Linked DNA regions of Rattus norvegicus. The protein of the gene in region 7 interacts with the protein of the main gene of each other region in a pairwise test. Links are inferred from orthologs where the notes say so. Each region holds a gene or a part of one and is shown on either strand. Other genes may lie near its edges.

Region 1 (4,138 bases), on a different chromosome or scaffold from region 7:
CTCATTAAAATGGAGATCCGTTTTGAGCCTATGTGACAACAGGTCACATCCTCTATCTGTGGAGAGTCTTGGGGTATTGCCCATATGTGACTGGTGGCCACAAATCTATGGAGAGCTGTGGCTAGTGATGGGGGCCTAATACCCAGGAACGGGTGAAACTCCTATGTACCTTTCACTGTCCCACACACCGCCATTTTAGCTGAGGAGAGAAGAATAGAGCTAGAATGGTACATGAGAGGCCTTCCAGGGCTGGAGAAAAAGGTTATAACTTGTCCTTCTCTAGCCTCTTGTTCCTAAGGGCACATGCCCTGCTAGCCATACGTGACATCCCTGTGCTAGGGTCTGTCTTCCCTGGAACTCTGTCACAAATCGTGGTATGTCTTATCTCCTAATGGAAACCTGGAGGCCACCCAGTACCACTCTGTGTCAGGTGCTGTCTCTGCGTCCTACCAGCTCAAGTGTTCCAAACCTTAGTTCTCCTGCCTGTCAACAGAACATGAAGGGCCCATTATGCCGAGCTCATAGCTAGTATAATAACTATTAAAAGGAGGTATCCCCAGGCTGGAGAGATGGCTCAGCGGTTAAGAGCACTGTCTGCTCTTCCAGAGGTCCTGAGTTCAATTCCCAGCAACCACATGGTGGCTCACAACCATCTGTAATGGGATCTGATGCCCTCTTCTGGTGTGTCCAAAGACAGCTACAGTGTACTTACTTATATATTAAATAAATAAACCTTTAAAAAAAAAAAGGAGGTATCCCCAAATCCTTGTGTTAGACTGTGATTCCCCAACACTATAGGTTTGGGAGGTGAGGTCTTCTGAGGGTTGACTGTCATAAAGACAGTCTTCATAAAAGCATTCATGCTGTAACTGTGAAACTGGGGTGCGTAAGGTAGGCTTCCTCTTGCCTGCCCACCTCCTACCGTGGCATGTCACATGTGGCAGGACAGCCCTCACAGACACTGCCAATGTGCGCTTACATGTTCCAGACCCACAGCTACGAACTAAATAAACTTTCATACGTGACTTTTTTCAGTCTAGGGTCTTCTGTCGTTGCCACAGAAAAGGACTAAAACAAAGGTTTTTTTGAGATTGATTCTCCGAAATGCCAACAGCTGTCTGAGTGTCTAATAGGTATCGAGCTGCTTAAAGCTGCTGTGAGGTGAGGTTAGACTGTACTCCTGTGGGCAGCCTTGTACCACGTGGCCTGTATGATGTACTGCAGACATCTGTCTATGAGGTTCCATGTAGACCTTTCAGCAACCAATGAGCTGGAGCCTCTGAGGGAGATCACTCAGCCGATTTCCTGTTTTCAAAAGGAGAACTCAGAATTGCGGCAGACGTTCGACCGTCCAGTTGGACCTTGCAAAAAGAGATCGAAATGGAGCATGTGACCCTCCTGGACCTCTGAACCCACAAAGCCTGAAGATTCCAGGTCAGTCAGTATTTGACCCCAAGCCTAGCTGGCTTCCTCCCACTGAGACCCAGTGATCTCCTTGAGAGACCCTCTGGGAACTCCCTGGGGACCAGGTAGGAGGGACTAAAGATGGTGAGAGCCACTGCTATCTGTAGTGCTGTCCTCAGAAACTGGGGGCAAACCAGGAATACCCACCAACAACCTCCAAGCCTGACTCTTTTTAAAATGCCAGACCCCATCTCTGTTCCTGGGAACAAGTCCAGACTTGTATTTCTCAAAGGGCAGACCCTACAGCAGAACACAGAATCCAGAGCTCTGCCTGAGGGTTGTGGGGTAGGCACCCTGCTTTCATTAGAGACCCCGACACTGCCTCTCCCCAATCCCAAAGGGGATTCTGATGCACACCCATAACTGAGAGCACTTCCGGTGGCAAGTTTCACGGGGAAGCACTCAGGGGTCCTGTGGTGCCCATCTCTCCATAGCAGGGCGGGTGGAGCCTTGGCTGACCTTCCAGTGAAGACCGGAGGAAGCTGCCCTACAAAGAAAGGGGGCTTAAACTCAAACTCCCGCAGCCAGGGCTGCCGCCCCTGGCATTTCCTTCCTCCTTGTCTTTGAATAGGTGCCTCTCAGTTCTTGTCTTAGGGGCAAGGGTTGTTACTGCTTTCTTCTAGATTTTCATTCCTTCTGCAACCCCCTGAGAAAGGTGGCCTAGGCTCTACACGTGGCCTGAGTACCCAGGAGGACTGAAGAGGGTAGGACCCCTTGAACAGGGGAACAAGAGCCAAGGCACCCAGGAGATGAAGACTGTCACGCACAGGAGATAGTATAGGGTGGGAGCCTGTGACGCTGCTCTGTCCTCTGGGCCAAGTGCAGGTCCCCAAGCTATCGGTACCAACCTCTGCCATGCTTTATTGTGATGGCTAAAAATCTTTACCACGGAGGGTGTGGAGAGATAAGGCAGACCCTTCAGAGCCCTCTATCCCCAAGGAGCTTAGCAAACGGATTAATTTCCCATTTCCCACATAGGGAAACTGAGGCTTGGATGTGTTTGGGGAACTATCAACATAGCACCTTTTCCTACTTGTCTTTAACTGGGTCCCTCCCAGCCTGTCCTGTAAGAGAAGACACCCAGGAACAGCTTTGGTTGTGGCTTTGATTTTTATTCTAAGCCCTGGTTTCATGCTGGTTTCTTTTTAATGGTTCGACCAGAGCACACAGCATGGGCAAATTTCTGCGGTCTTCCGAGACTCCATTGGAGAAGTGCCCTGCTTCTGGCATGGCACCAGCTACCCAGATCAAGAAAGCAGATCTGGAAATGGACCACTAGGACCAGTTCCACAAGCCACCACTCACTCACCACGAGAAAAAGATAGGGAAAGTACAGAGTGCCCATAGGAAACATGACGACTCTATTCAGTAGAATAGGCGTACACTGGCACACCTGCCATTCCACCCCTTGGGAGGCAAAGGCAGGAAGATTATGACTTCCAGGCAGCTTGGGCTACATAGCGTACATCTTAAAAAAAAAAAAAACAAATGAAAAACACTGTTTAATATGACAGCATATGGGCTACCTACCATCTTGCTTTAGCACTTAGCTCAGTGGTTCTCATCCTCTGGGTTGTGATCACCGCAGGGGTCACCTATCAGACATCCTGAATATCAGATATTTATATTATGATTCAAAAACGGTAGCGAAATTACAGTTATAAAATATCAACAAAATAATTTTATGGTTGGGGTCACCACAACTTGAGGTACTGTATTAAAGGGTTACAGCCTTAGGAAGGTTGAGAACCACTAACTTAGAACATGAGGGACCCCCTCCCATTAACACTTAATGGCATGATAAGGCTTGTAGCCACCCTTCCCAAAAAGGAAAGGAAGAAATGGAGAATAAAACAAATAACTTGCCCAGGAGCCGCTCAGTCAGAATGGGGGCCATGTCTCCTGACTCCTTCACAGGGTTGACAGGTTAGCAGGGCATACAAGCTGTGAGTATCCAAGCATATACAGCTCTGGTCCAGCCCGGCCTCTGCTCTGTGCCTCAGTTCACCCACCTGTAAGTGTGAGGCTTGATTGAGGGTCCCTGACAGCACTTATTGGTCCACTGCTTAGATGCCACTCAGAAAGCAGTTCCTCCCACCTGTCATAGCAAGAACAGCCCCCTGAGGCACAGGCTGAAGCCCCACCAGCCTCCCCTAGGCCAGACAGACGAAGAGAGAGGATGTGTTGGCAGCACTGCACCTTTGAGTTCCCGTGCTGTGGTGGTTAATCTCACCAACTCAGCTAGATTTACAGTACCCTGGGAGCCAAGGAAAGTATACTTCCGGGTGTGTGTGTGTGTGTGTGTGTGTGTGTGTGTGTGCGCGCACGCGCGCATGCGCTGTTTCCACAGATGACTAGGTTAGGGGGAAGACCCACCCTGAATGTGGAGAGCACCATGTCAAAGGCTCAGAGGAAAAGAGGAAAGTGTGGTTCTTTGAGCTGGCTTTGCAGGTAAAGCCATTTACCGCTGAGCCTCATGACCCAAGTTCCAACCCCATGACCTGTATGGTAGAGGGAAAGAAGGAACTCCTGCAAGCTTGAATGGCCTCCATATGCTTTCCTCATGAGCTGAGGGGCATGCACATGCATGAGCACACATGTACACGCTCACACGCGCGCGCGCGCGCGCACACACACACACACACACACACACACACACACACACGATAAAAAT
Region 2 (4,106 bases), on a different chromosome or scaffold from region 7:
TGAGGTACACGTCCACATTACGTACACGCTATAGCAAAAACAAAGCAAATAAAAAACCACAATGCCAGCACTGGAATCTAGGCAACTGCAACATTTGCAGATCTAATCACCTCCAAAAGTTTCGTTAGGTTCTGTATTTATAACTGACTGCGTAGGATTCCGACCACTTCTTTCGGATTACTTTAAAGCCACCATTAGCAGATATTCGGAAAGAGATTTGTCCTCTCTCACAAACTTCCCAGTGACTCACAGGTTACTCAGCTGACTTCTCTACACCCAGTGCTCCACCCAAGCTAGTTCACTTTGCTGTTGCATAGCAACAGAACATCCCTAACACCAGAAGGCGTTGCAGCCTCTCAGGGTCTAGCCAGAGGCCTCCCAGGGGCTCCCCAGCGTCTAGCAAGGGGCCTCCTAGGGGCCTCCCAGGAGTCGAGCCAGGGTCTAGCAAGGGGCCTCTTAGGGGCCTCCCAGGAGTCGAGCCAGGGTCTAGCAAGGGGCCTCCCAGGGGCTCCCCAGCGTCTAGCAAGGGGCCTCCTAGGGGCACCCCGGGATCTAGTTCTCAAACTTCTGGATGCTAGACCGACCCGATCGGATCGACAGTCCCGCTTCCTGTCCTGCGCCATAATACACTTCCTTAGGTTACATTTTCTCAGATTGGACCAAAACAAGTGAAGCCAGTGGGCATAGACCAAAATAAAGGGGCGAGACTGCAAAGCAAGCTGGAGATGCTCTCTACTGCACGTGCAGAGACGCCGGGATAGATTCCTATCAAGCTGGCTTCCAAACAGACCACAAAAGGCTAAGGAAGCGTTCGCCAGCAGGGAGCCAAACGGGCCCCGCGGCTTCCGGTCCTGCCACGTCTGAGGAAAAGCCTCTGCTGTTGTGAAAGCGGAGACTGCCAGGGGGCGGGCGCGCGGGGGCGGTGCTCTCAGGCCCATTACCCAGAGGATGCACCCCTCTCCCTTCCCCCAAGGGAAGCTGCTTGGGAAGGCGGCTGGCACAGCAACCCTCGTAGGAAGTGGCGAGCGGAAGCGCGCCCCCCTCAGGCCCGTCCAAAGGCCTGACACTATTTTTTGCCTTGGAAGCCACCCTTAGCCTGGCGGCCTTGCGCGCGTGGCCGAGCCCTGGAGCGCGCCGGCCAGTCCTGCCAATCACGAGCCGCGCCCGCCTCCCCCCTGGTCCCGCCCCGCCCCGTGGCTGAGGCTCGTGGGCCTACGCGCACGCGTAGTCGGAATTGGACAAAGCACATCCGCCCGCTACGGTCAAGCTAGCCAATCGCACGTCTCTCCTCCGGTGGGGCTCCGCCCCCGGGGCGAGGTCAGTGTACTCCGGGCGCTACGCTGGTTGTGTACGCTGTGTCTGCTGTGAGCATGGCTGAGGAAGGTATTGAGCTTTCTCCCTGGGGCTGGTCTGCGCGTCAGGCCTGCGGGTGTCTGCATATCTGATAGAGAAGCTCTTCCCGGCGTCGCGGGGGCTCGACTTCCTGCTCTGTAGGGTAGAGGGCTTTCTATGGTGAGGGAGGTGGAGGAGAGGGGGAGGGAGAGGAGAAGGAGGGGGACTGGGCTTAGAAAAAAGAGCGCGGGAGGGAGCAGCGGGAGAGCGCTTTCTGTGGTGAGGGGGCGGGGGAGGGAGTAGAGAAGGGAGAATGAGGGGGGATGGCTTTCTGTGGTGGGAGGGTGAGGGGAGGGTGCGGGGGAGGGAGTAGAGAAGGGAGAATGAGGGGGGAGGGCTTTCTGTGGTGGGGGGTGAGGGGCGGGGCGGAGGGGGCGGGGCGGAGAAGGCGGGGCTTGGTGGAAAAGATAGGGCGGGGGAGGAAGGCAGAGGCCCTGACCCTAGAAAACCAAAAGGGGCCGACGCTGCTTTCTGGCTCCTTGGGACTCATTCTTCTAGGCACAAAGCTTTTAGGATTCAAGATTCGGACTGTATCGCTTTTATTTACGAAATTATAACAAAGATTAAAATTCTTGACTACGTAGAGTTAGTTCCCTTCCCCGAAATCCAAATTTTTGGAGATGTTTTGAAGGAGAAAAATGAGTGTCAATAAGATACTAGCCGGTTTATTTGTCGTGAAAGAAACAAAATTTGGTTACTCCCCATGTGGAGAAGTAAATGGAAAGAATATGAAAAGAATTAGAATAAATTACAGGTACAAATAATTGGAAGAAATTGCTGACTTTTTTGGTGTTTAGTTCACTGAAGAAAATTTTGTTGAAAAAATTGAGGTCTGTTTTGAGATAATTAATTTATCATTCTCGTGTCTTTCCCTTTCTAGAAGGAAATCAGGAGATCACTTCCAAGATGGAAAACCCCTCAGATTCAGCATCCACTTCACCTGACATTCCTCAGACCAGTGAGAATCCACCATCACCCCCAACCTCACCTGACAAGCCTCAGACCAGTGAAAATCCACCATCACTCCATTCGAATAGTTCAGGAAAACAAGTATGAAAATTTTGTGTTGTCCTTTACCCCCATCTGTCCTGTGTTTCAAAGTATTCCAATAGTGGCAGTTCTAAGGATACTGGAGTGTGAGTTAATATATAGCCCATACCTTGCTAACTGCCAGATTTTCTTCTTGAATCAGTTCATTTCGTTTAATTTCTTACCAGGTTACTGAGATGCTCCAAACCAAGGAAACATATCTGTACCGTATTTCAGGGGGAAGTCTTTGGTAGCAGGTCTTCTCCTTAGTTTATAGTTCTGAGACATTTCTGTTTCTAGTATTGTCAGGCAAATACTAGCTGCCAATGACGGTAACCTTGCTAAAGCAAGACTAAAGGTAGCCTCTGGAACTTAGATACATTGGTGATGCCCACTTGAGGTTTTTGGAGACCAAAAGCAACCCATTGTACCTACCATAGAAGCGTACAGACTTTGTTTCGAATACATTGATGTACTTCAAGAATATATTCTTTTTTTTTTTTTTTTTTTTTTTTTTTTTGGTTCTTTTTTTCGGAGCTGGGGACCGAACCCAGGGCCTTGTGTTTCCTAGGTAAGCGCTCTACCACTGAGCTAAATCCCCAGCCCCAAGAATATATTCTTAACATTTGATGTTTTGTGTCTTTTTCAGCCTATGAGTGGGACACTTAAAGAAAGATTAAAGAAAGCAAGAGCTTCATCTCAACCTTTTTGTAGTGTGGTGAAGCGTATTAAGGTAGAGAATGAAGAAAATGATCAGACCCTTTCAGAACCAGGAGAATCTTCAAAAGAAGAAAACTGTTCAAAAGCCCAAGAAAGCCTGGAAAACAAAGACAATGAACCTGAAAAAGAGAGCTCAGAGGATAAAAATACGAGTGAATCTAAGTCACTTGATACTGGGTCATCCAGTGTCCTCCAAAAAGATTCTACTGAGAAGACTATAAAGCAAACTTTGAAGGAAGAAAAAGCAAAACTGACTAGGCAGGTTCAAGAGAAGGAAGACCTTCTTCGGAGGTTAAAGTTAGTCAAAATGTACAGAATAAAGGTGAGAAGAATTTCAGAACCATTGAACCATTTTTACATAAATTGCTGTAAATTCAGAAATTGGAAATAAATTTTAGTCTGATAAACAAGAAGCCGAAAAACCCAGAAACCTGAGTTAGTTACACCAAGAGCTTTGACTGAATTAGAAATAACTGGTTCAGAATGAGGCAGATAAGCCCCTTCAACACGAGGTAGAACTTAAAAGCTTCAAAGCTTCAGCTCTTGTTTAATGCACAGATGAAGCTTGTGGGCTCTAATTTCTAGCCAGGAGCAAGATTAGAAGTGTGAGGTGTTGGATGGAGGTGCAGTGGGAACAGAAAGGGATGTCGCTAGAACTAAAAACACACCACAGAATGCTGGGTGCTGCACTTTCCGTAACGATCATGTGTCTGATAAAATGTCAGGCATTTTATTTGAGAAAACACAGATTTTAGGTTTCAGCTCACACATGTTGAGTAAAATAGAACATGGATGTTTGGAAGGAGGAGACATCGCTGCTGCTCTTACCCACAGATCACCTCGTTCTATCCCCAAAATGTGGAGTAAATGACAATAGCGTATCTTATATGTGGTTTTGAACTTTTAGGACTTTTCTAAATGTAACTGATGCTAAATGTTGAAAATGCTTTAAGCTTGAATATGTT
Region 3 (3,949 bases), on a different chromosome or scaffold from region 7:
CTCTTCAGAGCATGACCTCCACACACACACAGGGTCAGCCTTAGCACTCCATCCCCTTGTTATTGGCTCTGCACCTCAGGGATTCCCTTCCGTGTTTCCACCTCGAGGAGCTATGTCAGGGCCTATCTGAAAGTTTGTAGGTAATGGCTCTTTTGTACTGCGGCTGTGGTTCCTCCCCACCACTGCCTTAGTTTTTCCACCTCATCAGCTCTGCGGTGCTGTCTTCTACAGCGATATCTCCCGTTTTTTTGTTTTGTTTTGTTTTGTTTTTTTTTTTAACTCGGGTTGACTCGGGGCTCCCTCCTCTCCCAAAGGACATGCGCTGCAGAAAAATTAAAATTTTATACATATGACACCCAGTTGTCTGTCCATGACTCTCAAGCCGCAGGACCAATTGGGGGGAGGGGGGGAGGAAGATTAGGCCAAGTTTTTGTGGCGATAGCCAAAGCACTCTAGGACGGATCCCTGGGCTGGGGCCACACCCCATGGACCCGCCCCATCTCTCAGTCCTCCAGTCCTGTTCCCTCCAAATATGAAAGTCTCTCCGCGTATAGATCAGGGAACCCGTGGGAGACAGAATAACTCTCTGGGAGGGGAGCGAACTCCCAAAGCTATTCGCCTCAGACCCCAGGGCCTGGCAGCCGCCTTCTCTGCCACGGTAACAAAGACTAGCCAGGGAAAGAAAAGGCGTGGGGAGGAGCAGCTAGAGATGGGAAGGGCGGGTCCGACTCCAAGCAGCTGCCGCTTCCTCTCCATGTCCCTTAGGGGGCCTGAGTCACGGGCCGCCGCCCCGGGTCGGCCTATTGGAGCACTGGGGTCTGGACACCCCGCTTCTCTAGGGCTGCAAGGAAGGAAGCGGGTGAAGGTCTCAGGAGACAGACAACCGAGAAAAAGGGGATTGCTACGGCGGGAGAGAAGTCCCACCAGAGTCCCACGCGGGAAGGAGGGCAGCGAAGCCCCGCCCTTCGCCGGGCTCCTCCCTGCGCCCCCTTCCTTCGCCCCATTGTCCGTAGACAAAGCGGTCGCCGCCCCCGGCTGGCCCCCTGTCTGCGTCTCCGTCCCTCCTCCTGGGTTCCCCCTTCCCTCCTCCTCTGTTTCCCTCCCTCCCTCCGGATCTCCCTTCGCCTCTCTCCTCCTCTTCCTCTCTCCCGACGCCCGACTCCACTGCACCTCCTCCTAGGGACCCCAAGGCGTGTAAGTTGACTGTAGGGCTCCCACTTTAAGGGAAGTGCCTCGTGGCTCTAAATCTCCCTTGGAGTGCCTCCCCTTTGTGCACAGATTGTCCGTTCAGTCCTCTCGGGTGCACGTCCCACTGGGTCAAGGTCCCCTGAGAGCCGGGTCCCTGGTTGGGGGACATCAGAGGCGCGATGCGGGTCCTCGTCGCGCCCGTGTTCTGGGGGCGCATCTGGTGGAGAGGCCGGCGAGATTGTAGGGACTGGACGCGGGTGGACGCCAGGGTTCTGGGAATGCATAGGCTGCCACACTTGCTCGGGTACCAAAAGTCCCCGAGGAGGGTATTTCCCCTGACCCGCCTCGGGGGCGGGATAGGCAAGTGGGGTAGGGGCCGGGCTGAGGGGCGGGGCCGAGCGCCGCTGGGAAGGCAGCCGGGACCTGCCGAGGCCCCGCGCGCAGAGGCGCCGGCGCCCTTGCCCGTTTCCCCGTCTCCCCTTCTCCCCTGGACCTCTGTCCTCCTCATCTAGCCTCACCTCCTCACATCTCGTCCGACCTCTTCGCCCCTCGCCTGCTGCTTCTCTCTTCCCATTTATCTCCCCTGGGTACCGGGGAAGCAGTCTCGACTGAACCCTCTCACTTCTCGGCCCCGGCTCCTCCGGCTCCTCGCTCTCCTGCTTTTCCTTACCTCCCCTTTTCATATCTCAGGGACCGTCTGGTGCCCACAAACCCCAATCTGGCTCTGCCTCTGCCCGGAATCTCGACTCTTCCTCTCCCATTATCCCCACCCCCAACTTGGCACCCGGCTTTTCTCCTCACTTTTTCAGTTCCTGACTCTTTTGCCCTCCTTCCTCTCACGGCCTTCCTCTATTTTCATTCTTAACTCTACAGTCCCTCTCTGCCCTTCTTAGTTCCTTCCCTCATCACTTCCTCCCTCCCCCCACCCCCATTCTCAGTCTCTGGGCTTCTCTGAAGCTCACCCTTCCTGTTCCCGTCCCCCAATACTCTCTCCTTCACTTCCAGCGACCATGACCGCTATCCCAGATTGGAAGCTACAGTTGCTAGCCCGGCGGAGGCAGGAGGAGGCAGCGGTTCGTGGCCGTGAGAAAGCAGAACGGGATCGCTTATCCCAGATGCCAGCCTGGAAGCGGGGAATTCTGGAACGACGCAGAGCCAAGTTGGGCCTACCTCCTGGAGAGGGGAGCCCTGTGCCTGGGAATGCAGAGGCTGGACCTCCAGACCCGGATGAATCTTCTGTCCTTTTGGAGGCTATTGGGCCAGTACATCAGAACCGATTCATCCAACAGGAGCGACAGCGGCAGCAGCAGCAGCAGCAGCAGCGAAACGAGGTGCTTGGTGATAGGAAGGCTGGGCCTCTGGAGGCTCTAGAACGGAGATCAAGTCCTGGTAATTTAAGAGATCAGAGCCCTAAGGGAAGAGAGTCAAGAGAAGAGAGGCTAAGTCCCAGGGAGGCCAGAGATAGGAAGCTGGTGATAGGAGGAACCCAAGAGTCAAGTTCGAGGTCTTTGGAGACTGGAGACTGGAGGCAGAGCCCAGCAGAGGCCAGAGACCTGGATTCCAGACCAGCTGAGGCTCAGAAATGGAGGCTGAGCCCTGGAGAAACTCCAGAGGAGAATCTGAGATTAGCAGGTTCTGGAGATCACAGTCCCAAGAGAAAAGAGGTATTGGAAAGCAGACTGAGCCCTGGGGAGTCTGGCGACCAGAAGACCAGTCTGACAGAGGCCCATAAATGGAATCTTGACTCAAGAGAAGCCCAGAAACAGAGCTTGGTACAGCTGGAGGCCACGGAGTGGAGGCTGAAGTCAAGTGAAGAGAGAAAAGACTACTTGGAGGAGTGTGGGAGTGAGGAAGAGAAATTGGGTTCAGGGATTGCCCCAGACCAGCCTTCAGTGACAAAGGAGGTTCAAGACACCACCTCTAGAGAAGTGGAGACTGCCGAGCAGAGGCCCACTGAAGGCTGGAAATGGACCCTAAACTCTGGGAAAGCTCGAGAACGGACACCTTGGGACATAGAGACGCAAATTCATAAGGCAGATCCTCCAGCATCTTCAGAGAAGCACCCGGGACCTTCTGCTGTGGAGGCTGGAGGGGAGGCTGAGAAGGAGGAGGCGGGGGCTCAGAGCAGGCCTCTGAGAGCCCAGCAGAACCGCTGCTCTGGGCCCTCCCCCCTCCCACCAGAGCACTCTGGGACGGAAGGCTCCAGACAGCAGGAAGAGGAAGCGGCAGAACCCCGGCCCCCAGCACCAGCCCCTCTGTCTCCCCCACCCTCGGCCCCAACTGCCCCCCAACCCTCTGGGGATCCCCTCATGAGCCGTCTGTTCTATGGGGTGAAACCAGGACCGGGGGTGGGGGCCCCCCGACGCAGTGGACACACCTTCACTGTCAACCCACGGAGGTGTGTGCCCCCTGCCAGCCCAGCCCCTCCAGTCAACCCTGCCACAGCTGATGCTGCAGGGTCTGGATCTGGCAAGAAGCGGTACCCAACTGCAGAGGAGATCTTGGTGCTGGGGGGCTACCTCCGTCTCAGCCGCAGCTGCCTTGTCAAGGGATCCCCTGAAAGACATCACAAACAGGTAAGAGAGCTACCACGCCTGACTGGGTAGAAGTCTCTTTCTAGTTCTGACTGGATGACTTTTTTATATGCCTGTGCCTCTTCTATTCTTTTTATTCTTGCCAACTCCCTTCCTCCCCCTGCACACACCCTTCCTCCGGGTGGCCTTCCTTTGCCATTCGTTTTGGAGCCCCAAGGATTCCGTTC
Region 4 (3,500 bases), on a different chromosome or scaffold from region 7:
GACCTCTGTGAGTCCCACCTCATTACTGAGGTGTCCAACTTTACCCCACATTGCAGAGCTGAGCGTAAAGGTCAGGGTTCTGCTGGGCCCAGGGATCAGAGTTTGTACTACCCTGCAGCCTTGCACAGACCCCTTAGGACTGGGAGACTTCACCTGTAAGACTTTTCCCACGCCACGTCCTCAGGCCTGCGGCCTGCCTTCATGCCACAGAGATCGGAGTTCAGCCTGTCTGGCTTCATTCCCTGTACTCCCTGGGATTGAGGGAGCGCATGGGCTGAGTGAGACGATTATTTTGCCGGGCCTCGTGTGTGTACCTGAGCATGTGCCTGGGCATGCATGTGGGCACAGGCAGCCTCCATTGTTAGAGATGGGTGTTTTCATTCGTGAGTAGTAATTATTGGGTAATGCTTTAAAGCCTCCCCTGAAGGAGTGCAAAGCTGTTTTTCCCCCCTGAAGTCGGGGAGTACGTTAAAAGGATTACCATGTAGATTTGATTTTTAGATAACGCTAAAATGGATCCCAAATGGACTTCAGCAGAGGGCTGCTATCTTCCTAATGGAAAGTGCATGGCCCCAGGCTCTACTCCCAGAGCCAGCAGAGGAGGGGCAGGGAGGTCTGCAGGGGGCTGACTGGCTGGCAGGCTAGAGGGGGTTGGGGAGACAGGAGTTGAGAGACCAAGTATAGAGCCCTAAAGGGACCAAGCCCTCCCTCCTGCATACCAGGTGAGAAGGACAGGGCAGTCTCTGAGGCTATAAGGTGTCTCTGGCTTGAGGTCTGACTTGGTGTTTATGTGAACAGTTCTCCTGGACGGGTGACCCTCCACAGGCCTCAAGGGACAGTCTTCCCATCCTCGGAGCCCAGGCCTCCCTTTATCTTCCTACACTTTATCCCTCCCCGTAGGCAGGCCTTAGAAGGAACTTCTGAGGTCAGCTTCATGGGCAGATCTGGGCTCTGTCAGAGGAGACACAGGCTGACCCTGGGACAGCCGTCATCCTGAATACTATCTCTCATTCAGACCAATTAACCTTTAGAGCTGCATTAAGGAAATTAGGCAGTGAACTTCCCAGCTAACAGATGGTCCTATGGTGATGGAAGGAGGGAGGGAAAAGGGAGCTGACCTCTGCCTATCAGGGGCAGCTATGGGGCCTCCTCCTCCGTGCCCTCACCTGTCCCTTTGGTCTTGTGGTGTCAGTTATGTCTGAGCTCTCTTCTTGCAGAGAGGACTTCCCTGTCCTAGGGGCTGTCCTCCTCTCCAGCAGAAGTCAGAGGGGATGACTGGAACAGGAACAAATCCTCAAGTCATCCCCATCAGCAGTTTAGTGGTTTAACCATCCTACCTACCTGGACTTCAGGTTCCCCATCTGTAGGAGGAGAACATTTGCCTGGAAAACGGGGGGAGGGCTATTCTGACCTGATATCTGTGAATCTAAGGTCACTAGGTGGTGGGGTGTCCCCTGAAGCCAGAGGACACATTCCTCCCTGAAGGGGGAAAGGAAAGGGCGGGATACAAATCAGTAGCTGGGCCTGCGGATAGGCACAGCGTCAGAGCTAGGAATGGGAAAGGTACCCAGGGCTGGAACTAAGTCCTACACACAGGAAGAACACAGATGGGTCGCTGGGTCAGGAGAAGGCCAGTGGAGACAGAGACTGGGGCCTGCCAGAAGCTGGCTGTGTTGGAATGGTGGGCTTTGCTGACTTGTTTGTGGGTAAAGCCTGCCTCTAACCCACCCCATGTTTTCTCAAGAGGCTTGTCCTCCGGCAGCCCTCCATGTACAACCACAGACTTGGTTTCCGTGCCCCCTGCCCGGCACTTTCGTCTTCCTTGCTCCTGGACACTGTGTCCCCGTTTCCTCCTCTGCTGCCCTTCCCAGTGGTTCCAGGGGACCTGGCGCGTGTGACTGAGTGCTCACCATGCCCACACTTGCACATTGTGCTGTGTGCAACGGCAGTTGTGAGTGCGCACACTTACCTACCAGCAGGCGCTGCCTTCTGTAACTGCTGCACACCGAGTCTTGCCTGGTACTTGTCGCTGCTTCCTATATGTCGAGAAGCTTGCACACACGGGACAGTGACTAGGAAGGAGAAGAGCCCAGCAAGCCCAGCAGCTTCTGGAGGGGTCTCGACAGGACCAAGGCATAGGCTATGGCACGTTGCCCAATAGACCAGGCCTGGGGCCTGGGGAAGAGATAGAAATGAGAACTCTGGAGCCTTTACTTAGAGGAAACAGTAAAGAGAAAGACATACTCGCCCCCTCCCCTGGAAGGGTGTGGTGCCCCAGAACTCCAGGGCAGTCCCGTACCCACCTGTCTTGTTTTTCCATCACAGGTGTGCCGATGCTCTCCGTCCAACCTAAGGGGAAGCAGAAGGGCTGTGCAGGCTGCAACCGAAAGATCAAGGACCGGTACCTGCTGAAGGCCCTGGACAAGTACTGGCATGAGGACTGCCTCAAGTGTGCCTGCTGTGACTGTCGCCTGGGCGAGGTGGGCTCCACTCTCTACACCAAGGCTAACCTCATCCTGTGCCGGCGCGACTACCTGAGGTAGGTAATGCTTCTCTGCCTCCTTCCTTCTGGCCTGGTGCACCTTGGCCTTAAGCTCTAAACCAGGCAGCCTGTGTGCACAACTGTGTGACTGCTGCTTCCTCACTGTTGTGTGTCAGCCCCGTGAGCAACCCAAGAGCAGGGTTATGTCTTCACCTCCCTGGACTTGGCCCCACAGGATCTGCTCAGGCATTAGTAAAGTCTTGGACACAAAGATAATCTTCCCATGGGTAACAGCCTGGCCTCACCCTCACCCATTTCTTATGGGCATCCAGAAAGGGACATCTCAAAGGGGCCTGGAGGCAGTCTAGACTTGCCTGGGCCTTCTTCCCAGGAGAGTCTCCTGCCCACCTCTCCCTGGAGTCTTCCTCTCCAGGTGCACTGGGATTAGGCTCTCATTTGCCTGGGTTGGCAGGGAGCCACACCCTAGGACAAGGACTGCCAGCGCTTTTTAAAAGATCTGGGTTTGAACCAGTCCCCCAGCCTTTAGTTTTGAACCATTCTCCATTTTAACCCCTATAGCCCACCTTGCATTCTTCCGAGCTCTGCCTCTCCCCCACAGCTTGGATCTCATCCCCTGGGGCTGCCTTCCCCAATTAACCCTCCCTTAGGCCATTTATGACATCAGCAAGGCTGGAAGGAGGCCATGAAGCAGGGGCCTTGGCTGAGACCCAGCACCTGCATTTGGCTCTGTCACTAGCTGCTGGATGGTGCTGGGCAGCCTTGTGGGGAAGAAAGGCCCATTGCATTAATTAGCAGGATGGGGGTGAGAGAGCTGGTGGGACTTCTGCTCAAGTCAGGACAAGTTGGAGGAGGGGCGGGGTTATTTGGAAACTCCCACCTTCCCCAGAGACCCTGAGATTTACCTGTTTGGACCTTTCCTTTCAACTGTTGCCTTCAGCATTAGCATCAGATGTTTTAAAAAGCGATGGTATTTAGTGCTTCTAGGGCGGGGAGAGAA
Region 5 (2,640 bases), on a different chromosome or scaffold from region 7:
AAAATAAAATAAAATAAAATAAAATAAAATAAAATAAAATAAAATAAAATGATGGCCAAGGTGGCTCATGCTCACTTGTAATCTCATTAATTTGGATCGAAGCTGGTTGGATTGTGGTGAATTTGTGGCTGACCTGGGCTACCTAAGGAAACTGTGTCAAAAAAAGTAAAAGGCACAGCTGCTTCCAATTCTGATTATTTGTTTGGTATTGCTCAGTATTACTTGGCAAGAAGAATCCCTCTGCCAGTCCAGTGACAGACCTGATGCTGGCTGGGATGGAACTATTCCTCAACTCTAGGAACCACTGGAACTGAGACGTTTGCAGAGTTCTAACCGCGTTCTTGGCAGAGACAATACTCTCCTCTTTTTAAAAATTTATTAGCATTCTACTTTTCTAACTTTGTGTACCCTTTTTTTTTTCTTTCTTTCTTTCTTTCTTTTTTTTTTTTAAAGATTTCTTTTATCAGTGCTCTAGCTGCATGTACATGAGCATGCCAGAAGAGGGCATCGGATCTTATTATAGATGGTTGTGATCCACCATCTGGGTAATGGGAACTGAACTCAATGACCTCTGGAAGAGCAGCCAGTGCTCTTAATTGCTGAACCATCTTTCCAGGGTTCGAGAGATAGCTCAGCCATTAAAAGTTTGGCTCACAACCAAAAATATGAGACAATTCTTTTAAAGACGATAACTCCTCACTCTGGGAACTGACATCTGCATCTATTGAGGGGGCAGACTGTCTTTGGTCATCAAAGACAGAAATCTGACAGACTAGGGGCTGCCAAGATGGCTCATTAAGAATAATTGACTGTAAAAAAAATAAAAAAAAAAAAAAAAAAAAAAAAAGAATAATTGACTGTTTTTTCAAAGGTCCTGAGGAATCCCATGATGGTTCACAAACATGGGATCTGAAGCTCTCTTTTGGTGTGCATGAAGACCGAGCACTCACATACATAAAATACGTCAATGAATAAATCTTAAAAACAAAACAAAACAAAAAAAAACACAACACTAGAGAAAGTCTACCGGACTGCTAATAAAGCTGTCTTTGCCCAACACGCCTCTCCTTCCGCAAGTCTTTCTCCCCACTCCCCTTTCAAAACAGGAAGTTCCAGATTTGGACGAATGAAAAGTCGGGGGCGTGTCTTCAATATTTCTTTTGATTGGTCCAGGAGCATGGAGGCGGGGGTCTTCCCTTGTCGTGGCGGAAATTACGTTGGGTTCTCAACGTGCTCTCAGCTTCTCGGGCTTTCTCCATCATGGTGCGGAAGCTTAAGTTCCATGAGCAGAAGCTGCTGAAACAGGTGGACTTCCTAAACTGGGAAGTCACCGACCATAACCTTCACGAGCTGCGCGTACTGCGACGGTACGGGCTCCAGCGGCGCGAGGAGTACACACGCTACAACCAGCTGAGCCGGGCCGTGCGCGAGCTGGCGCGGCGCCTGCGCGACCTGCCGGAACGCGACCCGTTTCGCGTTCGCGCCTCGGCGGCGCTGTTGGACAAGTTGTACGCTCTGGGCCTGGTGCCCACGCGCGGCTCACTAGAACTCTGCGACTCCGTCTCCGCCTCGTCCTTTTGCCGCCGCCGCTTGCCTACTTTGCTCCTCAAGCTACGCATGGCACAGCATCTCCAGGCTGCTGTGGCTTTTGTGGAGCAGGGTCACGTCCGCGTGGGCCCAGACGTGGTCACCGATCCCGCCTTTCTCGTCACTCGCAGCATGGAAGACTTTGTCACCTGGGTGGACTCATCCAAGATCAAGCGGCACGTGTTGGAGTACAATGAGGAGCGCGATGACTTTGATCTTGATGCCTAGCGAGTCTTGTCCTGGTTTCTCAGCTACAGGTCACTGAACCGGGGATGGGGAGAATCGCCTCTGTGTTCCGGGAAATTTTCTTAGAATTTGGACTGACAATTGACTGTGTCTTGAGAGACAGTGGGAAGCAGTTTTTACTGCTCTGGGGACTGTTAGCTTCTTGTACCTTAAACTGTGGTGTAGAAGCAGGAATGTTACCTCTTCCCTTCTTTGCTTTATCATCGTGAAATAGAACAGATGGAGAGTTTGAGTTCATTTTATTTATACCATTTAAAGAAATCCTTTCCTAATGCCAATAAATGTCCCGACCACGTTGTTTAAATGCACATTTTGGTCTGGTCCTTCGTCTTACCATATCTGTTGATCTCGCTAGCTGAAGAGCCTAAGAGGAGGAAAAGGGTTGTAGACGTGAGACTCTGCAGCCTCACGTGGAGGCTGCAGGATGTTGTACACGCTGGGCAGATTTGTCACTTACCCAGTCCTTTTCTCGGAATGAATGTTTTGGCAGAGCTTTTATCCACAAGACTTCCTGTTGATATTTCAGCCCCAGGAAATACCATATTAAAGTCTTGGAGTGTTTGCTTGCCTAAGGAAATGATCGCCCTGTAGTTTGGCCAGCTAGTGGTTAGAAGGGACCCAGGAGGTTCCTGAAAACAGATGTTCTTCAAGGTCCTGGCTTCAGAGTTACTAAAAAAAACAAACAAACAAAAAAAAAACAAACAAACGAGCAAAAGGGGTGGGTAGTGTTGGCACAGCCTTAAACCCAGCAGTTGGAAGGTTAAAGCAGACAGATCTTTGAGTTTGAGGCCAGCCTGGTCTACATTA
Region 6 (4,170 bases), on a different chromosome or scaffold from region 7:
ACAAAACATTCTGGTACCAATCCCAGGGGGCTTGAATAGAGAGATGGGGTTCTGACCACTGGTCAGTTGAGTTGTGGACCTTACAGTATCCATTTCTAAGGGACCCCCCCAAGCTCATATCCCTAAGGTGCCCCCTTACTGTTTAGACCCACGGTAGTGGTGATTTTGGATAGACTCATTCCCTTGTAGTTCTTGTTAAATCGTGTTTTTGACTGTTCCAGGAAGGTCTGAGGAAAGAAAGAGAGGTGGTTAGATAGCAGCACCTAGAGCAGTTTTCTGGTGTTCTTCCCAATATAACCCTTCACACCTATATGCTTTGGGCCTTCACATCCATACACATATGCACGCACACCTCTCTGCCTGTTGACTGCTCTTCAGGAGGCTGGTGACAACTAACCTGTAGTCTTGGGGCCCCGGGTTAGATTTCCAACATAAGAAAACATCAAGCGGGGAATGGGAACTCGTGAGAGAACAAGGACCTACCGTCTTCCCAGCATTGTCCAGGCCCAGGATCAGGATGCAGTATTCATCCTTCTGGAACATGTACTTGTACAGCCCGGAAAGCAGCGTGTACATCCTGTTTGGCACCCTGAGAGATGTCAAGGTGTGTACCAGGGTCATCGGCCTCCTGCCCGCTTCATCAGTGATCAGTCTATCCTGCTAGTTTTTAAATGAGGATCCTGACTCTCCCCCCCACCCCCTTCGGTTAAAAATCTCTGACCCTGACTCCACCCTTGCCCACCTGCTAAACCTGGGCCACTCCCACTTAAGGTCATCTTTCAGAATACACCATCGACCTGGAACCCTGAAAAGCCCGTGGCGGCCTACTCTACTCCGCCTTCCAAAGGATCCTCTTTCCGAACCCTCAACTCAGCGACAGGAAGCAGGGCCAGCGGACTGTCTAGGGAGCTACCAAAGAGGCAAAGCTTCTGGCGAGGGTCGGCTTCGGATTCCCGCCGCTGCTGGGCCCACGGAGACTAGGAACCATCTGCTGAAGCCACTTCCGTCCCCCTATTTCAGGACTCTAGAACCCCAGCTCCTCAATTCAGCTGAGGCCCACCTGTACCTGCTCAAATTTTGGAGGAGGAGCCGCCGCCACCGCGTTACTAACCCCACCGACCTCACGTTGACCCCTCACGGTGCCTGACGGAACGAGGATCGACAGACCCAGCACGGGCGGAGTCGCATCCCAGCGTCCCCCGCGCGCCGGTACTTCCGGCAGCATCGGCTCTCCGGCGGAAGTGCCAGCGGAGGGCGGAAGGTTAGCGCGTGAGCTTTGCTGGGGAAGCCGGAAACCCTTCTAGACTGCGACCGCAGTCAGGAGGTGGGGTTGCGGACGGCAGAGGACGGGGGCGGGTTAAGTGCAGGTCCCCTCGGCAGAGCCTGGGTCCTCCTCAGCCTTTCTAGCGGTTTGGGGGGGGCGGCGTTGCACTTAGCCCTTCTTACTGCTCTTCCTTCAGAGCTTGTCTGCCTTAAAGGTTCCGAAACCAGCCTTCTGGGTCAGGATGGACGAGGACAACCTAGAGACTGCCCTGCAGACCTACCGGGCCCAGCTTCAGCAAGTAGAGCTGGCGCTCGGTGCTGGCCTAGACGCTTCTGAGCAGGCGGACCTGCGCCAGCTGCAGGGCGATCTAAAAGAATTGATCGAGCTCACCGAGGCCAGCCTGTTGTCGGTCAGGAAGAGCAAGCTGCTATCTACAGTGGACCAGGAGCACCAAGAAGATGCTGAGTACTTGGCTTTCCAGAAGGCTATAGCGGAGGAAGCACCCGTTGACCCCGGCAATGACTCGAAGACGGTCCCTGGGAGCGAGGTGCAGCCGACACCCACCTCCTCTGCACTGGAGGAAGAGGAAGAGGACCCAGATCTGGAGGATCTGAGCGGTGCTAAAGTGAATGCCCCCTACTACAGCGCGTGGGGCACGCTAGAGTATCACAACGCCATGGTTGTTGGCGCCGAAGAGGCGGAGGATGGTTCTGCGTGCGTTCGGGTACTCTACCTATACCCTACCCACAAGTCCCTGAAGCCCTGCCCGTTCTTCCTGGAGGGAAAGTGCCGGTTCAAGGAGAACTGCAGGTAAAACCCTCTGCTACTAGCAATGTGGGACACGTAGTCAGGACCACCGCTGTGGCCTGCCGCCACAACTTTTTCTGCACCCTGCAGAGTTGATAATGAAGAGTCCGAGCTTCAGGTGACTGACAGGCTTTTACAGAAGTGTTCTTCGTTTGTCTACTTAGATTTTCTTGCATAAATCAAAAAGTTTGAAAGGGCTATTGTTGAAAGGATAGGGCAACCCATCATCAATATTATTCTCCAAGGTAAAACGTTTTTTGCTTTGAGATGGCAATGTAACCTCGGCTGTTCTTCAATTCCTGATCCTTCAGCAATTGTGCTAGATCCCGAATGCCTTCAACTTCCAAATGCTAGGATTACAGGTGGAGGCCACCACCACTTTTACTGGGCTACATCTTCAGCTTGGAACCTTTTTTTTTTTTTTTTTTTTTTTTGACTATGATGAGGTGGAACTAGGGCCTCCAGCACACCAGGCAGTCAGCTACTCTACACCTCAGTCCTACCCTCAGCTATGGGGAGCGTTTATATATAGTCTTACAGAACATTCAAACACATAACCTCTTGCTACTTTGCCTTTCCCCCTTGTGCTACCTTTGGCAAGTCACATCTTTTTCTCTCACCCTCAAATACTTCAGAATGTAGCTAAATAATAATTACTAAAACCTACCTATGTCTTTTTTTTAAAAAAAAAAAAAGATTTACTTGTTATATATAAGTGCACAGACACACCAGAAGAGGACACCAGATCCCATTACAGATGGTTGTGAGCCACCATGTAGTGGCTGGGATTTGAACTCAGGACCTCTGGAAGAGCAGTCAGTGCTCTTAACTTAACCAGAGTTATTTCTCCAGCCCCTATGTCTTTTTTTAACTCAATAATCCAGAGTAACTCTAGTGCTTTGAATTTATTTTAGGCCACTGAAATAAAAACAGATTTGTTCTACTATAATAGTAGTTAGTAGTGATCTAAAATTAGTTTCACTTGGCCAAAGGCAGGATTTTAAGCAGGGCTAGATCCTTGGAAGTCTGAGGGTAGAATCCAGAATCCATTTCTTTGTCCTTTTTTTTTTTTTAATTATTATTATTTTATTTTGACTTATTTATTTTTTTTACCTTTTTAATGTTTTTCTCCAAGGATCCATAGGTTTCTTTTGTTTTGTTTTGGTTTGGTGCAGGGTCTCTGTGTAGTCCTGGCTGTCTTGGACTACATATAGCTATGAAGACCTGACTGGCCTTGAACTCACTACCCAAAGGCTGATATTAAAGGTTTGCACCATGGCCCGGCTATTTTTGGCCGGCTATTTTTGGCTTTTTTGAGACAAAGTTTCTATAGTAGTCCTGGTGGCTGTCCTGGAACTTACTTTATAAACCAGGCTAGCCTGGAACTAACAGAGAGCCACCCGCTTCTGCCCTCTGAGTGCTGTGATTAAAGGCAAGCACTACCATTTCTGGCTAAGATAAATTTTTAGTTATGTGTATTTGTGTGTGAGTGCATGCGTATGTGTGTGTGTAGGGGGGTGGGGGGTGTGTACCTACACAATCTTCTAGCCTGAGAAAACTAGAAGAAGGTGTTAACCACTGAGCCGTCTCTCCAACCTCCAGAGACCAACTGTATTCCTTGGTTTGTGGCCTCCTCACATCGCTTTAGGCTCTTATTCCCACGTTACATCTGTACTCTGCACATCTTATTTCTTTACTTTGTCTTTAAAATGAGGTCTCATGTAGCTCAGGCTGGCCACACACAGCCATTTCTATATACCCAAGGATGACTTTGAACTCTTGGTCTTCTTGACTTCACCTTCAAGGGCCAGAATTGTAAGCAAGTGCTACCTATCTTGGCTGTGCACATCTTTTTGTTGTATTTCATGGTAGACCGGACATGTCCTTGCCCAATCTTCCTTTGCTAGCAGATAGGTGCATAAGTGATCTGTGTGCCCAGCAGGTTTACTTTATTTGTGTATGGACAGGGTCTCTCTGTTGTGCAGCCCTGGCTGACTAGAGATGAGTTTGCCTCTGTCTCTGGAGTGCTGGGATTAAAAGAGTGCTGTTGTTGTAAAATTAAATTAAAAACTGTCTTTTACCCCCCACTAGATCCAGCA
Region 7 (2,733 bases):
AACCACCACAGTAGGGTTCCTACTGGGGGTGTCCTGGGACTGTTTCCTAAACGTGACATTTTTATTTTTATTTGGTCCTTTGGGAGTTTACTCTGTCTAGTGTCCTGTGGACCTAGTTACTTATGAGGCCCCACCATTTTGTCCTGTCATAGGCTGATAGCTGAATCTGGCTCCAGGCAGCCTTCCCACACTGTTGTGCAGAAAACACATGGTGATAGTCGCTTCCTTCTGTGTGACGCATGCTCTGTGCCCTTGAGACAGTATCAGTGCCTTCCTCACAGCCTACGAGAGCTAAGCTCATGTCCACAGCACCTGGTCCTTGTTCACTGTCAAGGGCCATGCAAGTCACAGCGCTGCGCTGTGAGTAGACTGAAGGTGGTCACAGCAGAAGCAAAGGGTGTTGCCTCTTACTTAGCCTGATGCACAGCGGCACTATTTCAGTTCTCAGTGAGGCCCAGAGTTTATGGAGGGCTCCGAGGCTTCAGGGCGGTGGCTGGAAGGGAGCTGCTGTCTTCTGTACCTGTCCCCATGTCACCTCAGCCAGCCCAGCCATGTTTCCAGCACTGCTTCTCCTGTACTTCTCACAAGTTTGCATTTGGGTCACACTGTGGTCCTTCAGTCCCCATAGTCTAGCTCCTCAAACGTTTTTCCATTTAAAGTTTTTAATTATGTTTGTGTCTGTGCCTGGTGGATGATCCTGTTGTACACAAGTGCAGTGCCAGGGATGGACAGAAGGGGTATCAGAACCCACGGACCTGGAGTTAGAGAGTTGTGGGCCATCTGAAGTGGGTGTGGGAATCAAACTCTGCAAACATAATACATACTCCTAACCAATGATCCCAATTTTCCGCTCTACAGAGAGGCCTCTGTAGCAAGGGATAGAATAACAATTGTAGGCCATGCTAGACAATAAGGTGACCTCATAAATGGTGACTTTAGGGTCCACATCTCATCTGATACTGAGAGGATCACTTCTGATATCTGATATTAGCTACGCAGCTCCTGGACCAATTTTGTGATACTGACTCTCCCAAGCATGCAGTAAATCATGTTCTTGCCCAGGTCCTTAAGCAGCAAGTCATATACCATGTCATCATGATGCTCTGGTGTTGGCTCTGCGTACCCGGGGTCACCTCTCCTCACTGTTCTCCCTTCTCTCAGGTGCCTACATGCAGCCAGGTGCGAGGGAGAACATTGCCTACCTCACCCACACGGAGCGCAGGAAGGACTTCCAGTACGAGGCCATGCAGGAGCGCCGGGAGGCTGAGAACATGGCACAGAGGGGCATTGGTGTGGCTGCCAGCTCTGTGCCCATGAACTTTAAGGACCTCATTGAGACCAAGGCGGAGGAGCACAACATCGTGTTCATGCCTGTCATTGGCAAGCGGCACGAGGGCAAGCAGCTCTACACCTTTGGCCGCATTGTCATCTACATTGACCGGGGTGTGGTGTTTGTGCAGGGCGAGAAGACGTGGGTGCCCACCTCCCTGCAGAGCCTCATCGACATGGCCAAGTAGACATGGGCCACGACAGACAGGCGAATAAACAGCACTGTGAAACAAGCTGGTAAATAACGTCTCTATTTGGGAGACCATGGCACCAGGGCAGGATGTGACTCAGTGTCCCCAGTCGGGCTGTAGTCCCGGCCTAGCAAAGAGCTGGTGTGGTGTGCACTGTGGCCCCTGGCCCAGGTGGAGAGAATGGTGTCCTGCTACTCCAGCTGAGTGGCTGTGGGTTTCCTGATGATCTCCAGGTCCTCACAGTTCTGGTAGTCAGGCTCTTCCCGGGATGCCCACAGGTCCTCAGATAAGCCTTCCAGCTTCAGAAGAGGGAACCAGTGGACAGATGTGTCATTGAAGGTGTCGGTGTACTGGGGAGTTTGAGGCAGTGGGAACTCCTCCAGGCCTTTCAGAATCTGAGTGGAAAGGGCCAGACACAGGCATTAGGCATGGCCCACTCTTTGTTCACCTGCCTACCCCACTGTCCTTTTGAGATAAGAAATGGGGATTTGTATTTGAGCACTTTTCAGTTCCACGGGTAGTGGGAATGCTGGGCTCACCCCGAGGGTGAAGGGCACAGATTAGGAGAGGGACCAGCTGGTTGTGGATGGACAGTGTGGCTTTGCACCCCTACCCCAGCCCAGCTATTCTGTCAGACACCTTTGCAATGTATGAGTAATTTTCCTGAAGAATCCTCGCCAACAACCTACAAATAAAAAACACATATGCAATTAGGAAGTACATGTTTTCTTTCTCAACTAACAACAGGTAAAAAACAGGATGACTTCAGAAGGGTTGAGGGATGTGCAGGAGGGCAGCACAGGCAGGCACTGGGAAGCAGATCAGGAGTGGTCCGCACACTTAGAGCATGGCTGCCCAAACATGCTGCCCTCAGAAGAGGGACACTTGCAGATTCCTTCAGTGCCTTAAGCTGGACCCAGGGTTTGACATCTGCCTTAAACCTTTAACTCGGTTCCTCATGGGGAAGGCGGGGCTGGCATTCCTGACACTCACCTTTCCTCGAGGCCTTGGAAACTGTTCCCGATGATGACCACCCTGGACAGGGCATCTGCAGACCAGTTGCTCCACAGCAGGTTGTTGTATAGAGCTGTCCCACAGTGTGGCATGTAGAAGACAGTGGGCTGGCTCTGGACACTGTGCTTGCCTTCCTGTGGAGTCAGCAGGACGTGTGCTAAGGAGCTGAGTGCAGATCCCAGCTCTGCTGTGGCAGGGC

Evidence for each region.
Region 1: the proteins of Tfip11 (region 7) and Snx20 interact in binary tests that used the Homo sapiens proteins (3 or more experiments, as listed by UniProt). The two-hybrid records come from large-scale screens. The link is inferred for Rattus norvegicus from reciprocal best matches to the Homo sapiens genes TFIP11 and SNX20.
Region 2: the proteins of Tfip11 (region 7) and Sfr1 interact in binary tests that used the Homo sapiens proteins (3 or more experiments, as listed by UniProt). The two-hybrid records come from large-scale screens. The link is inferred for Rattus norvegicus from reciprocal best matches to the Homo sapiens genes TFIP11 and SFR1.
Region 3: the proteins of Tfip11 (region 7) and Ppp1r18 interact in binary tests that used the Homo sapiens proteins (3 or more experiments, as listed by UniProt). The link is inferred for Rattus norvegicus from reciprocal best matches to the Homo sapiens genes TFIP11 and PPP1R18.
Region 4: the proteins of Tfip11 (region 7) and Lmo1 interact in binary tests that used the Homo sapiens proteins (3 or more experiments, as listed by UniProt). The two-hybrid records come from large-scale screens. The link is inferred for Rattus norvegicus from reciprocal best matches to the Homo sapiens genes TFIP11 and LMO1.
Region 5: the proteins of Tfip11 (region 7) and Imp3 interact in binary tests that used the Homo sapiens proteins (3 or more experiments, as listed by UniProt). The two-hybrid records come from large-scale screens. The link is inferred for Rattus norvegicus from reciprocal best matches to the Homo sapiens genes TFIP11 and IMP3.
Region 6: the proteins of Tfip11 (region 7) and Zgpat interact in binary tests that used the Homo sapiens proteins (3 or more experiments, as listed by UniProt). The two-hybrid records come from large-scale screens. The link is inferred for Rattus norvegicus from reciprocal best matches to the Homo sapiens genes TFIP11 and ZGPAT.

The regions. Positions count from the first base shown.
Region 1 is NC_086037.1:34,608,059-34,612,196, forward strand, and holds the start of Snx20 (sorting nexin-20), read left to right. Parts: upstream 1-1,338; 5' UTR 1,339-1,434; intron 1,435-4,138.
Region 2 is NC_086019.1:256,559,227-256,563,332, forward strand, and holds the start of Sfr1 (swi5-dependent recombination DNA repair protein 1 homolog), read left to right. Parts: upstream 1-1,306; 5' UTR 1,307-1,370; coding exon 1,371-1,383; intron 1,384-2,272; coding exon 2,273-2,442; intron 2,443-3,070; coding exon 3,071-3,463; intron 3,464-4,106. UniProt on the Homo sapiens protein: Component of the SWI5-SFR1 complex, a complex required for double-strand break repair via homologous recombination. Acts as a transcriptional modulator for ESR1.
Region 3 is NC_086038.1:2,889,530-2,893,478, reverse strand, and holds the start of Ppp1r18 (phostensin), read left to right. Parts: upstream 1-1,149; 5' UTR 1,150-1,194; intron 1,195-2,193; 5' UTR 2,194-2,198; coding exon 2,199-3,764; intron 3,765-3,949.
Region 4 is NC_086019.1:172,571,034-172,574,533, reverse strand, and holds part of Lmo1 (LIM domain only protein 3), read left to right. Parts: intron 1-2,325; coding exon 2,326-2,539; intron 2,540-3,500. UniProt on the Homo sapiens protein: May be involved in gene regulation within neural lineage cells potentially by direct DNA binding or by binding to other transcription factors.
Region 5 is NC_086026.1:66,234,247-66,236,886, forward strand, and holds Imp3 (U3 small nucleolar ribonucleoprotein protein IMP3), read left to right. Parts: upstream 1-1,251; 5' UTR 1,252-1,260; coding exon 1,261-1,815; 3' UTR 1,816-2,140; downstream 2,141-2,640. UniProt on the Homo sapiens protein: Component of the 60-80S U3 small nucleolar ribonucleoprotein (U3 snoRNP). Required for the early cleavages during pre-18S ribosomal RNA processing. Part of the small subunit (SSU) processome, first precursor of the small eukaryotic ribosomal subunit.
Region 6 is NC_086021.1:188,850,249-188,854,418, forward strand, and holds the start of Zgpat (zinc finger CCCH-type with G patch domain-containing protein), read left to right. Parts: upstream 1-1,370; 5' UTR 1,371-1,505; coding exon 1,506-2,074; intron 2,075-4,170. Other genes in the region: Arfrp1 (ADP-ribosylation factor-related protein 1), read right to left, coding at 140-227, 484-660, 1,067-1,225. UniProt on the Homo sapiens protein: Transcription repressor that specifically binds the 5'-GGAG[GA]A[GA]A-3' consensus sequence. Represses transcription by recruiting the chromatin multiprotein complex NuRD to target promoters.
Region 7 is NC_086030.1:49,959,525-49,962,257, reverse strand, and holds the end of Tfip11 (tuftelin-interacting protein 11), read left to right. Parts: intron 1-1,161; coding exon 1,162-1,517; 3' UTR 1,518-1,711; coding exon of another isoform or gene 1,712-1,915; 3' UTR 1,916-2,159; coding exon of another isoform or gene 2,160-2,205; 3' UTR 2,206-2,233; downstream 2,234-2,733. Other genes in the region: Srrd (SRR1-like protein), read right to left, coding at 1,712-1,915, 2,160-2,205, 2,514-2,668. UniProt on the Homo sapiens protein: Involved in pre-mRNA splicing, specifically in spliceosome disassembly during late-stage splicing events. Intron turnover seems to proceed through reactions in two lariat-intron associated complexes termed Intron Large (IL) and Intron Small (IS).